Linked DNA regions of Daphnia pulex. The protein of the gene in region 1 purifies or fractionates together with the protein of each later gene. This does not show direct contact. Links are inferred from orthologs where the notes say so. Each region holds a gene or a part of one and is shown on either strand. Other genes may lie near its edges.

Region 1 (8,277 bases):
GTGTAGTCGGAACGCAAAATTCGCACAGTTTGATTTCGATTTCAACTGACGGGAAAATGTGCTCGTGGAGTTTAGATATGCTGGCACAACCGCAGGAGACGCTGGACTTGCAACAGCGCCAAAGTCGTGCCGTTGCCGCGACGTGCATGGCCTTCCCCCAGCCCCAATCCGACATCAACAATTTCATCGTTGGCAGCGAGGAAGGCACAATCTACTCCGGTATTTTTATTCAAATAATTCGTTGCATCCTGTCGAAGTAACACGACTATCAATCGAAATAGCTGGTCGTCACGGACCGCGTGCCGGAATTATCGATACCTACGAGGGACACCAAGGACCAATTCGTGGCATGGACTGTCACAACTCTCAAGGACCTATTGATTTTTCACACCTCTTTCTTACGTCCTCTGTCGACTGGACCGTCAAACTTTGGAGTCTCAAGGTGAGAATAGTTTTATTTTTTTATTTTTACGGATCAAGTTACTAATCCATTTCTTTTATTCGATGTTGCAGGAGAACAAACCATTGTATTCATTTGAAGACAATGGTGATTATGTCTATGACGTAGCTTGGTCTCCAATTCATCCAGCTGTGTTCGCCACAGTGGACGGCATGGGCCGTCTTGATGTTTGGAATCTTAATCAAGACACAGAGGTTGGTCTTGTGATTTTTCATACCTCTAAAATTTGGTTTTAACCTCGAATATTATTTAGGTACCAGTTACTAGTATTAATGTTGACGGCAATCCTGCCTTAAATCGTGTCAAGTGGACCCAATCTGGAATGAATCTCACTGTGGGCGATGATAATGGGCGAATTTGGGTTTATGAAGTTGGAGAGGTATGAACTTATCTTGTATATCTTTCGTACTGTTGACTTCTAATGTTTAATGTTTAACTTTTAAATGAATTGTAAATTTTCAGCAATTGGCTGTTCCAAGAGCAGACGAATGGACGCGGTTGGTTCATACACTTCAAGAGTTGCATCAAAATCAGCTGGATGAAGACATGGAAAAAATGAATTTCGGAGTAGGAAGCAGTAGCCTTGGCAGTGGACCTGCCAGTAGTAGCCTGGGAATCGGCAGCAGCATTTCGCAGTTGGCCGGAACCACTTCGCCTCCTAGCAGCTTGGGCAGCATGTCTTCCTCTTCGTCTGCTCCACTCCGCTAGCCAATTAATCCGCTTTTATTTGGGTCTTTGTACACATGTTAACCCAAGTACCTCAAGGATCCTGTTTTTGCCGACGTGCTTTCTATACCTATCTTTGTTTTTTTTTTGCTTTTGGAATGGGAATAATGCACGTGTGGGTACTTGAAATTCTATCCAAGATTAAATATTGAATTACATAAGACTTCACCAACAAAACGTTCTGATCATTTATATATTGGATGGATTCTAACATCAGATTATACAACCAAAGGAAGGGAGAAGTGATAGGCTTGGAAATGTGTCTGGAAAGACCTGGAAAAAAAAACTTAAAGGAGGGTAATAGGACAAGAGATGTTAGACAAAGAAATCAATGTTACAACCCGTCTGACTACAAGAAAAAGTACCTTGTAAACAGTCTTGAAAAGTTAGCGCTCGATATCGAAATCAACTGATCATTTTCAAGATACTCAACCGAGAAGAGTTAGAAAGGAATTACTAGGTGATAAGAAAAGAATGGCAAGAGAGTGGTAAGAAGGAAAGGTAATTATGAAAATAAAAGAACACAAAAAATCTTCAGACAACATTTAAATCATAGGGCGATTCTGCAGTAATCTTTCCACAGCAGCATTCACATCGCCAAAGGTTGCGATCAAGGCTAAAAACAAAAATAAAATTTTAAGAAACTTGTCTGTTTTGAATATTTTCTTAAAAATTACCTTGGAGGTTGGCCTCTCTGTTAATAAATCCCATAGCTGTTAATTGTTCTAACTGTGAACGGTATCTTTCTTCCGGTGGTTGGGTGGAACCACCGCCAATTCCGCTTCCAATTCCACCTTGACCTGCTAGGGAAGTTAGCTATCCGTTCGAAAAATAAATAGTTGTTTTACTGAATTTGTGTGTAAAAATCAATTATTGCGCTTCTACCATGCTTGCCATCATGTTGCTAAAAGCGTCAGATCCAGGCCGGGTAGTCGTCGGTGGAGGAGCTGTTGTCGTCGTATCCGACGCAGCGGGTGTAGTGCTTGCAGCAGGATTCAAAGGCGGAGGAAGAGAACCGAGACCAAGCCTGCAAAATCAATCGAACAAGAATTACATTTACATTCGCTGCCGATTATTATAGAATGAGAAGTTGTCATACGTAGTAGCAAACGATGGTGCGACTTGTCGGAGTTGCTCCATTCCTTGTTGAATCTGCATCATCGCCGACATAGCTTGTGGGTTTGTGACCAAATTCTGAATTTCCGGATTATTGAGCTGAGCCATGAATGTTGGTAGCATTGTCCTCATTTGTTCTTGCATAGCTGGGTTGCCTGATTGACGGTGATATTATAAAATAAATAATTGAAAAACAAAATAACACGAAATGAAACAATTAACTAAACGTACTGGCAAATAGAGGATTGTTGAGGATCATCTGTTCGGCTAGTTGTGGATTTGAACCCATTTGTTGGAACATACTTTGGACATAAGGGGCATTCATCATACTCTGCATAAGTTGCGGATTATCGACAATCTGCTGCATCAAAGACTGCATTCCTGGTGAATTAATCATGCCGGGCATGCCTGGCATGCCTGTTACACCTTGGGCAGCTGAACTGGATGGGCTTCGATTTTCACCACCAGTTCTAGTCTCAGAATTGCTTCCAGGCGACCTAAAAATATAAACGGTGTTTTGTTTCATTTACTATAATAAGCATACTTGACAATAAACAAACTGAGTCGAAGATGGTCCAGACCAGGGATTTGGTAAAGGAGCACGGTTTTCTTGTCCTGCTTGAGGATTAGCCGACCCAGCAAGAGGCCCGGCGTTATTAACCAAAGCGGCAAAAGGATTGCCACCAAACTGTTCTTGAGCAGCATTGAACATTGGCTCCTAAAGAATCAATCAACATCCATCAGTGAGCAAAGCTTCTTGAAAGATTTCCATTTCTTTAAAACCTGAATGTCGCGATACATTCGTTGAAGGGCACTGTAACCTCCTGGAATTGATTCCAAATTAGAAAGAGCCCGATCCTGACTGCGCATAAGTTCCTGCAACATGGCAGGATTCCTTGCAATTTCCATCGTTTGTCTCAACAGTTCTGGATTGTTCATTACATGATTGATTTCTGGATGACGCTGCAAAATTTCAAATTCTATTTTAGTCAGAGTTCCATACTTTTATAACACAGATTGCCTACCTCCAGCAACTGCTGCATTTGTGGGTTAGAAGTCAAAATTTGTCTCATATAGTCAGGGTTACTCATAAGTGATTGAACAAGAGGATTGTCCATCATATTGCGTAGTGTTTCAGGATTTGAAAGTATTTCCCTTTGCATATTTTGCTGCATCTCCATGAAGTTCCCTGAGCCCAATCCCATATTTGATAAACCTAAATAAACAAAAACACAATTTTATAACATAACACTTTTCAAATTTTTTTTTTTTTTTTTACAAACCTGCAAGACCACCCAATCCACCAATTCCAAAGGGAGATGAGGGACTCGGCTCTGCCGGTCTGCTAGGAGTTACAGACGGCTGTGGAATCGTGTTGGATGAAACATTGCTTGGTGATTCCTGTGTGGTTCTGATGGCATTGCCAGATTTGATGACAAGGTGTACTGTGAGTCCATCCTTCAGGTTGTGCCCTTTCAATGTCTCTTGATCTTTAAGAATTTTGCCAGCGAAGATAAGGCACACCTGTTCAGCAGTTGCCCCAAACTTTTCAGCTACAATTTCTTTCAGCTAAAATGGAAATATACATTAGAATGCAGACCAAGAATCAGGATTAAAATAGAGTTCATTAGAAAAACAAATTTGTTACATATTGTTCATTTGAGCATTACCTCTTTGATTGAGGCCTCTTCCGGTACCTCTACATCTTTCTTATCCTTCGGGGTTTTAACGGTCAATTTTATTTTTTGTGGCTCACTCGACTCAGCCATGTTTTAGAAATTCAACGAACACTCGTATGTATTCCAAAATAATTATAGAACAATACAACTTCAGATTCCAGAACTTGTTCGAAAGTTTCTGTCGTCTTCTTGATTACCACATTCGAGAGTAAGGGTAAACGCTGACGTCCGCCAGTGCGCTGCCTAGCGGTTGTCGTCCAAAGCTTTTAGTTCGAACTCCTCTTTCCCCAAGATGTTTGAAATTATGATTAGTCACCATGATTATACGCACTATTGCTTCATTATATTTATGAAAATCCAAGCTTACAGTATCAAAGTACAAATTATGTACACATTTTTATTTATGAAAGTGTTATATGATCATATTCGAAATTAACGCGCCTCATTGTTTGCAAAACAGTTTAAATGTCAAGTTTTCAATAAACACAGAAATAATGTTTTAATAGACCTTGGCATTCATATTGAGTTGAGAATGCCTCTCCAGAGATATAAAATTGGACTTTTATAAACTAAGGACATCTTGGTTTTGCAGTGTCAGGATCCAGAAAGACGATAGCACAAGACGCGGCAAAGCCGAGAATGATGAAGAGCATTTTTGGCGTTCTCAGATCATTGCTATTCAACTCGTGCGGCAGCACTTCGAAAAAGGTCACATAAAGGAACGTTCCGCAAGCCATACCTTGCAAAATACCACTCAATATTGTTGCCTCAAGAGAGTTACTAATTAACTCAACGCCCATTCCGATTCCCAAACCAATCGGAGCAGCGAGACAAAATATTAGAGTCAACTGAATTATCACTCTGGTCCGAAGATTACTCTGAACAAGATTGAGGCTAAGACCAAATGCAATTACACATTTATGGAGCACTACAGCCGCAAAAATTTGCAGAACCTCTTCTACATTTTTTTGCAATCCTGTGATGTTTTGAGAAACAAAAAAAGAGATTAGTATAACTTTATATGAAGAGAGGATTAGAAATTCAATATTACCTATTGCTAATCCCTCAAAAATGGAATGTAGAGATAGAGCCACTGATAATAAGAGAGATCGTAGAGATGAATTGGCTGAATGATGAGAATCATGGCTATGACCACTATGACTATGATGAGATGCTTCATTGATAGGCTGTCCACTTCCATAAAGAAAGGACACCTCAGGATCAGCATTTGTTGCATTTACTTCCCTTGTGGAACCTTGAAGTAAAGGTTCTCTTTCACCAATTTCTTGTCTAAAAAACAAAGTTGAAGCAATGAGTCGTTTTGCACTTAACATACTGTTGTTATCATTTTACTGTGAAGGTTCATGTTTGCAATCAAGAGATATTTGTTCCACAATTAAAACGGTGAAGAGTCCTAGAACAACTAGGAATTCGGCAAATGGAAATGAACTGTTGATTTTCAACGCAACCATGACCTCATCAATGTTGTCTTGCACTTCAGGAAACAAATCTAGTAGACAGGTCCCAAGAAAAACTCCTCCAGCAAAACAGTTCAACAAACTGATTACTCGTGAGTACCTTAAGAAAAGAGAGAAAAACGTACACGTAAACATCAATTTTTGCTTAGAAGAAAGAAAAAAAATATGCGACCTTAGTTTCCGAACAGGATCTGCGACATTTCGGATTGTATCCATTAGCTTTAATGGCAGTAAACATGATAATAGTGTAACCACAAATAACGTAGCTAGAACAATGCTTTTTGCTTTGTTAATGTCCATGGTAGATTAAAGTGAGTTCTTCTTGACATGGGAGTGAAGAAATCAGTCACAGAATTCACTGAATCATCAGTAATTACTTTATGGGTATGACTCAAGCCCAGCAGACGCCCATTGACAGCCCAGCAGTAAACAGTAAACACCATCTTACGGAGATTAACAGTAAAAAATACAAAATCGTTTAGAAATTTGCATTCCCCGGCTTTTCACGCTTTAACGAGTACGAAATGTAATGAAACTAAATTTTGAATATTTTGGTTACTAAGCAACACAAAATGGAATGTTTTGCATACAGTTCACCAAAAGAGTAGAAAAATGATCGCTCAGGCTCAGATCAGAAGCATCAAGCACGGAGCATGGTAGTCAATACGGGAATCTGCAATCAGACTATCAGAGGGACTGTAAATCATAATGTTATATGTAGGCTATAGAATTTGAATAATACAATAAAAAATAAAATAAAATTGAGAAAGACGAAACGCGGTAACAATTGTAGTTTAATGTCAATTAATTTTTATTAAATTTAACCTAATACTGTAGTACCCCAAATAATTTACCCATAGGCTAATTTACTAATCAAATAATCATCATATATTTAGAAGAGTTCACGATAATGTGAGACTAACAAATGCTATGGCCGCACTTCATTTGAAATGTTTAATAATCCGTTAAACATTTTGGTTCTTTTTTCTGCACCTTTGTTAATTCGCTGGCAAAGCCTTCACAAAAAACATTCGATATTTTCGATTTTTATTTCATATTTGTTATTGTGTTATGTAACAGTATAGTGTCTCGTCAGTACGGACAACGGATAATAAATTTCACAGGGAAGGAACCAATCATGGGAAACGTTGCGGCACGCTTACCACGGGGCGAAAGTGTTTTTTTCTTCTGCAGAGACTAAGTTGTTCTTTTTCTGAGGGGCGGTTGAGAGGAAAAGTGAAAAGAGGGCTTGAAAATTACATTCATCGAGCTTTAAGCGTATACGATTATATTGAGGGCGGGGGGAAGAAATGGGAGGTGCTTGGTTTACGGTTGCCACTGTCCTTCATTCAACAGTTTTTCAATGGCAGTTTGTCGGCATTTAAAGGCCTGCGAACCTGTTCTTTTCGTAGGTTCCCAGGGTGTACCACGGAATATTTAGACCATCCTATCCTAGTAAGCCTCGTGATCATCCAGTTCAGTTGGATTCAAACTGTTGTAACGCATACACCTCAACTGTAACGATCCGTTTACTCTTTAAACTTGCGCAGTACTCGTCTGTAGGTTTTTGAGCTAACAAGTCTTACACTTCTGTTCCCTGATTGCACTTAACAAATAAAAATGAACCGAAAAAGTGATTCGTGTTTAACAGATCGTAAATGTTTTGAAGCTCGTGGCTCCGAAAGCAGAAAGGTAAAAGAAATGGACATTTGAATTTCGCAAATAAAATAGTTGTTAACTTTGGCCTTTAAAAAAAATTGAATTATAGGTGCGCAAACCTTTAATGGAAAAGAAGCGTCGAGCACGCATCAACCAGAGCCTAAATGATTTGAAAGATCTTCTCATGGAAACGGACAGCGTAAAAAAAGAGGTGTGTATTATACATATTGCATTCGTTTACATTATATTTTAACTGTTTAAAGTGTTATTAAAAACGAAGCTGGAACTAAATAAAAATTTTAAATTTCAGGGTTCCCGACCGGCTAAACTGGAGAAGGCCGACGTTTTAGAACTAACTGTAAACTACGTCCAGAAGCTTCACAAGGAACGACGTAATAACATGCGGGACAATTCAAATGATGGAAGCACTAGCTGCCCGATCCCTAATGGTTTTTCGCCAAGATCTAATCAATCGTCAAGGTTTAAAGATGGGTTCATCGAGTGCGCTCGCATCGTTCGAGAAGTTTTACACAATCAACCCCAGCAAGCAATGGAAGGAGACCTGCAAAAAAGAGTCGGCCAATATCTTGACCGATGCTTAACTAATTTAGTTCCCGAACTACTGACCAACCGAAAATCGCTTTCACCTTCGCTCGGAAGCGACTCATGCACATCGTTTGAAGAAAAATACATGGACCCTTCCGAATTTGTCATGGACAGCTCTTCACCTGCAAATCGTATTTGTTCATCACCTTCAACATCGGAGGAAAGTCGGGACTCGTGCTCTCGACGGTCATTTTCAAACGAAATCAACAGCTTTGCTGATTTAACATCAACGCCGAATTCTTCACCGAGCAATGCGCTCAACGTGATACCGTCTCGCTGGACTTGCGGTTTCAAGTCCGTTCCATTCTTCGGATCTCCTGATTTGTCAGCTGAGAACTTGAATCAAGGCAACAAGTGGGAAAATCATCAGGTGGTCCCTTCTTCAATGTCATGCGAGAGAAAATGGAAGACGAGCGATGCCAATATCGTGGAACTTTTTGCATGTGGTGTCCCATCAACCAGCGCTTTTCCATCAGATTGTTCTTCCAGCTCTTTGACTTCCAACCAACACTACCAACATTCACCCGAAGTTATTTATCGACATCAAATCAGC
Region 2 (8,277 bases), on another chromosome or scaffold:
TCTTCTCAATCATGGAGCTATGTTTTTTGTAGCAAGTTCTAACGTCTTTAGTATCTTGCGATGGTACGTAGTAGATATGTATGTTAACAATGTCTTTAAAAAAATATTATTTCATTATTTTGTCGTAGGTATCGAGGAATGTCATGGCTTCTGCTGCTTGTCAATGGAATGAATGCTATTGCCACAATTCTCCGCTTCATTACTACGATTCTGCTTTGTAGTAGGTTGTATGCTGCTGGTGAACATCTTCAATCGAACATTTGTCGGTTTCTTGCTGTAACATGGTTCCGATTGAAACCCGACGAGCGGCAGTTTTTCACTGCTTTTCTCGTTCGTGTTCAAGACGATGGAATTGTAGCTTCTCCTCTGGGGCTCTATCCCATACGGCCGTCAATTCTTTTGGCTTTGCTTTCCCTTATGGTTACTTACCTCATTGTACTGCTTCAATCTTCCGAAGTCTCGACGTTTTCTGAGTATGGAAATTTTACCGGGCTTATTACTGGCACACGTTTCTACAATCCATTAAATGTTTAAGCTAACTCTGTCAGTGTAAAATCTACGAAGGAAACTGTTTGTTATATTTAGTCCCTGTTTATATTTAGTTAGTTTAAAACGTTGGTAATTTTTCATTTAGGTGTCTATTGGATTATTCTTCGTAAGCAAGAATGATCTAAAGATATTTTCAGTAAAAGATTATGATCTCTTTTCCCGTGAGCGGACTGAAGTCTTAGAAGGCATTAACTATGGTTTGTAAAGAAAATTCCCGTAAGTGAATGCTATCAACTTATTATTGATGTTAATCTAAACGTTTCCCAAGGTTCACGTAAATGTCTTGATCGAGATCATTTTAAAATTTTTGGTATCACTATATTTAATGAAAATATATATTATTCATTTTTAATCAAATTTTATGACTTATCCAGCATTTTATGACGCTTCCAACCTTCTTTACAAGTCGAATTACTCCAGTGGATGATTGATATGCTTTGCCCGCAAGAAATCAATAACAGCACTCCGATAGATGGAACCCATGGATGGAATATAGCTGACATTAGTTAGCAAAAAATGACATAATAGTAGACTTACACGCAACATGGCTTTTCAAAACATTTTATTTTATGACGATCAGCACATCAAAAGAGGAAGTCTCAAAATTTCGACCAAAAACTTAGTGGTACTTCAAATGCGGATATCAACAGACAAGACGATAGGAAATGTAGCGCCCTGCAGTTTCACTAGGTCGAACGATTTTCACAACCTGTTAAGTAAATTTATTATAATATAAATAGTCTAAATATTTCACTCCCCTCCTTTGTAGATACCTGTCCTCTTTTAAGTCCAAAATACCGCGCAACGGGGTCCCCCATTTGAATTCGCATCAGTTGATTTTCTTTAAGTTTATAACGACCTAGAAGTTCTTGTTTTTCCTCTGGTGTGAGAACAACATGTTCTGGGACTAATTCATGCTCAGTAATGTTGATAAGGAGTTCAGATTCAGTGAAATATTCCAAGATATATTTTGGTGCCATATCCGTTAAGGACTAAATGGATTGAGAATATATTTTAATAAGTAGCTATACATTGACTTAGTCATTTAGTGTACCTGTTTGGCAGATGGTGTCATGCCTGATTGTACAACAATGATGGCCCTTGTTATATTTTCTTCTTGCATTCTCTGGCAGTAGGTTTTGATGGTTTTGATTCCAATTTTAGGCTCATCAGGGAAAAAAACAAACATTTGGTCAGTAGGGTCATCGTTGTGTGCAACCAAAACAATAAGATCACTGCGAGCTGGCTTCCGTTCACTGTACAAAACTTTAGTAAGTAAGCAGTTTTAGTTTTTGTGATAAGATACTTGCCTTGGTTTATCTCCAAACTGAATTTTGAACTGTTCCAAAGTTTGATCCAACTCATCTTGAGTAACTAAATACCCTCTATCGTGGCAAAGCTGAAAAAGAGACGTCAGCTTCAGGAAAATATAACTTGATTTACCACCTGTTATTCGATATTACCTGCATGATGGTCTTCCGAACTCTCCACATTCGGTAGGTTTCCGATTCATCATCCATGAGAAATCTTTATTCGGTTGTTGTGTTCAAGAAAAATCCAACACGTGCGAAAGTAGATGTTTCTTTTTCGAAATTGAGAAGCAAAGACGAGAAGAATCGAGCAATGCCGAAAAGTCGAAAGTATCGTCTGAATCTACCAATGTGGCAAAGTTTCTTGGATGCTTAGTGCTAACTGCATTCCCCAAGCGGTGAAAATGAGCTCTAGAGCCAATCCTCCATATTTTGCTATTCCTGGCAAAAGATTCAGAGTGGAAAGGCCACCTAGTGAGTAGTAACTATCACTGTGTACCTGATAAGGTTTTTCCAATTTGACAGATTAAGGAGTGAATGGCTTTTACCTTTCCCTTCTAGAGACCTTTATTCCTAAAAAAACCACTGTAATGGCGTCAAAAAAGGTATTTCTTACTCAACCGTGGTGTCGCTACGAAACTGTTCATTTTATTTATTTGTACGGATAGAAACAAACGACCCCAACTGATGACTTCTCAGCCAGAGGAGCACCATCACCGCCGACACAGAAAGTTTTTATTCAAAGGGACTATAGTGAAGGAACTCAAGTTAGATTTCAGCCCAAATTTCCCTCAGAACTGGAAGGGAAGGTAAGAAAATAAATGTTTTTCATTTTGTTTAATGTTCAGGGTTGAATAGCAGTCAAAATAAATAATCGGTGTGTGTGCATGTTGGATTGTGCACTCATGCCAGAATTATTTATATACAGTTATTATCATTATCAAATCATTTTAATTGTTCTAATACTGTATTCATTTGTTTTAGATTGAAAGGGAAAAATTTGAGTACACTCTTAATACTCTTAATGAGGTATATGCAGAAGCAGAAAAAATGAGTTGTAGCTCATGCTGTGAGGGATGTTTCGCATGCTTGACTGCATACTTGCTATACTGTTGTAGTGATACTCATTTTGAGAAGGCAAGTCCAGTAAGAATCTACTTCTCTAGATTTTGACTTTAATCATCCTTTTTTTTTATAGTGTTTGAAGAAGGTGGCCAAATTTATCATTGAACAAAATGAAAGAGTTTATGTACCTAGAGGACTACTGATTATTGACCCTGTTGAACGAGGACTCAGAGTTGTATCCTTTTAAAAAAAACTTAGTTAATTGCTACTAGGTTGTATGTTTTATTCTTAAGTAGCACATTTAAAAATTATAGCAAAATACCTAGTATCAATCATATTAAATCAAATGGTAAAAAACCTAAAATCGTTAGATGTGGTAATACTTAGTTTCACATAATTTTAATTTAACATAATTTTACTGAATATTTTTATCTATACGCCATTCATACATAAACATTCCTTAACTTAATTATCTCTACAGATTGAAATTTGCATTTTCAGCGACAATCCTGCTTCTACACCTGCCAGGAACAACTAAATTTATGAAGACATCCTTGTATCTATATATTTGTAATTATGAACTTGAGTTTTCCTTTTTCATATTCCCATCCTAAGTTTGTGTAAACATGTGCTCATCATCATTAACTACCTAGATATTGTAAAATGAATAAATTGTGAAATGTGATTTGAATACTGATCCTTTGAAACAAATTGGTTTTGTCGTCATTTACCGCTTCCTTTATATCCAAACGTAAGTGAATTGTGCTACCGCGTATGGAAGCGCAAATAGGTGATAAATAAAACGTAGAAATTTGTGTAAGATCTAAATTGGTGAACTGGTAATTTTAAATACTGCAAATTTAAATCCATTAAAAACCCAAGCAGGAGCTAACAGATTTTGTTAGATTAACTAATTTATTTACTATTGAAGTTTCTGATTTTTATCTAAGTGTTTGTTTTATTTCAACTTGCTCATAAATTCAGTTCTGTTTATGTATCTAGTGCGTAAATTAATAATTAATTACAAAAGAAAATTCGCTGTCCGTCACGGCATCCAACTAGTTAAGAAGTAGCTACAAGAATTACAAAATGGTTATAAATTAACTTCTCTCCGCGAGAAGTATAAATTCTGAAAGAAAGATTAGGCTGAAAAATTTTAATCATCCTAAAAAAGGATTAGTAGATCAGACTGGAACAGAAGTACAGAACGAGGAACGGACCAACCAAAACTCGGGAAATTCAGAATCGTGATAAATTCGTTTTCTTTGGTTTCCTGGCAACCCCGCATGAATTGTCACAAATTTACATCGACTGAACAACTTTTTTCATCGAGAAAGCAAAAATGGTGCTCGAAAGTACTATGATCTGGTAAATAAATCCGGTTTCTATCTTATCTTAAATTTGAAAATTGGTAAAGTAACAGTTAAGGGTCATATCATTCCAAATTATGGGAGTAATTTTTTTGTTTTGGATTATCTATTTGCTCTACTTGAGGAGTGAATTTTAGGCTTGTTGACTTGCAATTTTCTGAGTTAATGCGGCATTTTTAAATTTTAGTGTGGATAACAGCGAGTTCATGCGAAATGGAGATTTCATTCCTAGCCGACTCCAAGCCCAGCAAGATGCTGTTAATATGGTTTGTCATTCAAAAACAAGATCTAACCCAGAAAATAATGTTGGTCTACTGACATTGGCCAAGTATGCATTTCGCTAAGTTGTACGGCAATTTGTTCTCTAACTGATGTGTTGCCTCACTAAATTTCAGCACCAAGGTACTGGCAACATTGACTACAGATGCTGGGCGTATACTATCAAAGCTTCATCAAGTGCAGCCAGAAGGCTCAATCAATCTCCTAACAGGAGTTAGAATTGCCCATGTAATATTTATTTTGAAGTATTGTGTTCTTGAGTTATCTAATATTAATTTACCTGTCTAATAGCTCGCTCTTAAACATCGGCAAGGGAAAAATCATCGAACTAGAATTGTAGTATTCATAGGTTCCCCCCTGAATTTCGATGAAAAGGAATTGAACAAATTGGCCAGAAAACTGAAGAAAGAAAAAGTTAATGTTGATATCATTTGCTTTGGGGAGGAAGTGAGTTCTTTCTTTGTTTTTTAAATAACTATTTCGGTAATTTCTTACATGATTTTGGATTTTATTAGAATGGAGGAACTGAAGTGCTGGCTAGTTTTATCAATACTCTTAATGGCAAAGATGGCACTGGCAGTCATTTAGTTACCATTCCACCCGGTAATTTTACAAATCCTTTTAAAGGATGTATATATTTTTACAGTATCAATTTTTTGTTTAAAGGGCCCCATCTTGCCGATGCGCTGATTTCCTCACCAGTCATTCAAGGAGAAGATGGTACAGGAGCGGTTGGAATGGGGGCTGGAGGTTTTGAATTTGTCGATCCTAATGAAGATCCTGAATTAGCTCTCGTAAGTGTTATCACTATTTAAATAGTTTATTATTTCATTTTAAAATTATTTTCTTATTAAAGGCGTTACGAGTGTCGATGGAGGAGCAGCGTCAGCGTCAAGAGGACGAAGCTCGTCGTTCGGGAAATCCGCCGGCTACAGAGCCCGCTGCAGCTACCACTATTGGCGGTGCCCCTGCTTCCAACGAAGATGCTATGCTCGAGCGTGCGTTGGCTATGTCTATGGATCAACCAAGTGTCAATACAACTGTAGCCAGTGCCGCCCCTGCAGCACCCGTTTATCCCGATTTCGCAACAATGACTGAAGAGGAACAAATTGCATATGCAATGCAAATGTCCATGGCAGAAGCTCGTAAGTTCTTTGTAAGGTGATATGTTGTTGCGGTTTGTAGACTAATAATTTAATATAAAATTCAGAGGGACCAGTAAAAACGGAAACCGAAGCTATGGAAGTAGAACCAACGCCAGCAGCTGCGGCTAGTGATGATTATGATGAAGTTATGAAAGATCCCGAATTTCTTCAGAGTGTCCTAGAAACGCTTCCAGGTGTTGATCCTTCAAGTGATGCTGTACAATCTGCCGTCGACGCTTTGCGAAACCAAGATAAAGACAAAAAGCAAGGCAAAAAGCCTGACTCCAAGTAAACAGATTGATTTCTTACGCGTCGCGAATGTTTGAATCCGGAATAAATTGATTTTCATCTGTTCATTACGTCTGCATTTAATGTAATGCGGAAGGTGTTTTGTTCGGTTGGCACATAACTGCGTAATTGATTATTCTAGGATGTTTTCGTATTTTTCTGAACTGAATAAAGAAACTCAAAAAATCTTGATGTACAAATTTATCTCTAGAACATGCGCTTTTGAATGACATATACACAAGCTGCAAAGAATGCAGCCAAAGCTAGAATAATTAAAATCAAATCGGTCGTCTCTCTCCGTCCAAACCGGGAGACCAACTTTTTTGTGGTTGTTAAGGCGCTTCCCATAACTTTAAACTCATCCTGATTGTCACTCACAGCATGTGATGATTGAGCTACACAATATATTAATTTATAGTATTGATTAAATTTAAAAAAAAATGGATTAATTGTTCATACCAAGTACTTCTAGAGTTCCTCTATTTTGCTCCAGAACACTAGCCATGGATTGACTTATACTTCTCAAATTGGCAGTCACATTGGTTGACATTTTGATAAGTTCCTCTTTTGATTTAGTTTGTCTACAAATTTAACATAAATTCAAATAAGCCAACAAGACAGAAATCAAATTCATAAAGTTACCTGGATCTTACTTCCATATCTTCAGGATTACTGTAAAAGAGTTCAGCTTTGTTTTTTAAACTGACAGTTAGTTGGCACTGTACATTAGCTTTCCTGGAAAGATGAAAGAAAATAATGCATTAAAACATGAAAACTTACAAACTATTACCGAAATGCACTTTGGAGACTTTTCAATTGATTTTTGAAGAGATTGACATCTTCAGATAGTTCTCCATCCTCATCTTCATCTTTGGAAATTTTTTCAAACTCATCGATACAATTTTTAAGTTTTCTAAATTCTGACCGATATTCTGAGTTCAACACCACAATATCAGCTTCTGTAATATCTGTCTTTTGTATTTGCTTTACAGAAAAAGTGTGGATGATTAATAGCAATCCGATTACATTAATATAATTTAATATTTGCATTACATACATGCAGAATGGTTTGTATGGTCAAATTTCCTTTAAGAATGTCATTTTTCAAAGATTCTATTTCACTACCTTCAGAATTTTTCATTGTATTTTAATATTTGGGGTAAAATGCACGAAACTGCCTATTTATCGCTATTCGCTACACTGACAGATTCACAGCAGATGGTTTGTTGTGATGTGTGCCACGTTGCCCAAGAAAGAAAAAATTGCATCATTCCAAAAGAAGTACTTTTTTATTGCGTAAAAATAATTAAAACGATTAGAATCTTTGTTTCTAATGTAATAAGAAAGTTTCGTCATAATTTCTAAGCTGTTTAGAAAACTTGGAGACAGAGTGCTGGCTGCTGGAGGTCATTCAAGGTAAATCGGTTCTTTTAATGGCGCATAGTATAGTGATAAGCAAAACAAACGCTTCCTTTTTGGACCGCTGGGAAGTGTACTTGTAATGCTGACGAAAGTGGAATAGAATAGAAAGAAGTGAAAGAATAGAGGTTTCGGTTTGTTCTACTGGCAGAGTTCTTTTTAAAAAATTGTGGAATTGGCCTATAGAGAAGAGCAGTTACAGTTTGGACGTGCATTGTGATGTGTAGCTTGTTTAATCTGTGGTGATCTACTCAATCTAGATGAAATGATACCTCGGACAGCCTAGTTACTACAGTTCATTTCGCGCCCAGTTTGTGTTGTGTTCAAGTCGATCCCTTGTCGACCCATCTTTGATGCCAAGTGAAAAGTAGCTTACAAATACCGTAGTATAAATAGTACCTTTGGAAATCAACAAAAAGTATAAATATTGCGCACAAAACTGTGTCGCATTTGGCAAAGCCCATTCGGCAGTTTTAATTTTAGTGTCGTAGCTTTGTTATTCTCGAGTAAACCACAACAACAAACACATTTTAGCTCCCTTCGCTCGTACTGGTGGTCGCTAAATTTTAGGTCTCCTTGGGCTTTAACTAGTCTATATTTTGAAGATGGCCATAGTCATTCAACAGCAGCGTCAAAACAAACGCCATAAAACAAAATCCATCGGGAGCCCCGTAAGTATATTTCATCACATTTTGTGAAAGGGAAACCGCTATACACAGTCCTTTGTTGTCACATGACGTCAGCATGATATCCGTTATGTTCTATAGTCGTGTTCAGACTTGTTCAGATTTCTTTTTTTCTTCTTCAAACCCCAATTCTTTTGTTTACCGTGTTCTAAACGACCAACAGTGG

Evidence for each region.
Region 2: the proteins of ubiquilin-1-like (region 1) and 26S proteasome non-ATPase regulatory subunit 4-like purify together in Drosophila melanogaster (affinity purification with western blotting; 3 studies listed by BioGRID, with this or other methods). This does not show direct contact. The link is inferred for Daphnia pulex from reciprocal best matches to the Drosophila melanogaster genes Ubqn and Rpn10.

The regions. Positions count from the first base shown.
Region 1 is NC_060019.1:8,122,345-8,130,621, reverse strand, and holds ubiquilin-1-like, read right to left. Parts: upstream 4,236-8,277; 5' UTR 4,072-4,235; coding exon 3,973-4,071; intron 3,872-3,972; coding exon 3,586-3,871; intron 3,519-3,585; coding exon 3,328-3,518; intron 3,266-3,327; coding exon 3,086-3,265; intron 3,021-3,085; coding exon 2,863-3,020; intron 2,800-2,862; coding exon 2,534-2,799; intron 2,458-2,533; coding exon 2,286-2,457; intron 2,214-2,285; coding exon 2,072-2,213; intron 2,003-2,071; coding exon 1,864-2,002; intron 1,803-1,863; coding exon 1,732-1,802; 3' UTR 1,366-1,731; downstream 1-1,365. Other genes in the region: cytoplasmic dynein 1 intermediate chain-like, read left to right, coding at 1-219, 282-442, 514-654, 714-839, 923-1,168; zinc transporter ZIP1-like, read right to left, coding at 4,551-4,957, 5,033-5,271, 5,335-5,559, 5,632-5,759; protein hairy-like, read left to right, coding at 7,080-7,151, 7,228-7,329, 7,429-8,277.
Region 2 is NC_060020.1:3,402,491-3,410,767, forward strand, and holds 26S proteasome non-ATPase regulatory subunit 4-like, read left to right. Parts: upstream 1-4,139; 5' UTR 4,140-4,266; coding exon 4,267-4,292; intron 4,293-4,481; coding exon 4,482-4,622; intron 4,623-4,689; coding exon 4,690-4,801; intron 4,802-4,864; coding exon 4,865-5,020; intron 5,021-5,088; coding exon 5,089-5,176; intron 5,177-5,239; coding exon 5,240-5,367; intron 5,368-5,429; coding exon 5,430-5,718; intron 5,719-5,783; coding exon 5,784-6,010; 3' UTR 6,011-6,072; downstream 6,073-8,277. Other genes in the region: uncharacterized protein LOC124192489, read left to right, coding at 1-63, 129-534; DNA-directed RNA polymerases I, II, and III subunit RPABC1, read right to left, coding at 1,193-1,258, 1,323-1,541, 1,604-1,805, 1,860-1,948, 2,013-2,069; golgin subfamily A member 7-like, read left to right, coding at 2,450-2,464, 2,528-2,668, 2,844-2,996, 3,058-3,159, 3,406-3,462; vesicle transport protein SEC20-like, read right to left, coding at 6,214-6,401, 6,466-6,587, 6,649-6,741, 6,797-6,990, 7,064-7,147; GTP-binding protein 2-like, read left to right, coding at 8,031-8,096. UniProt on the Drosophila melanogaster protein: Binds and presumably selects ubiquitin-conjugates for destruction.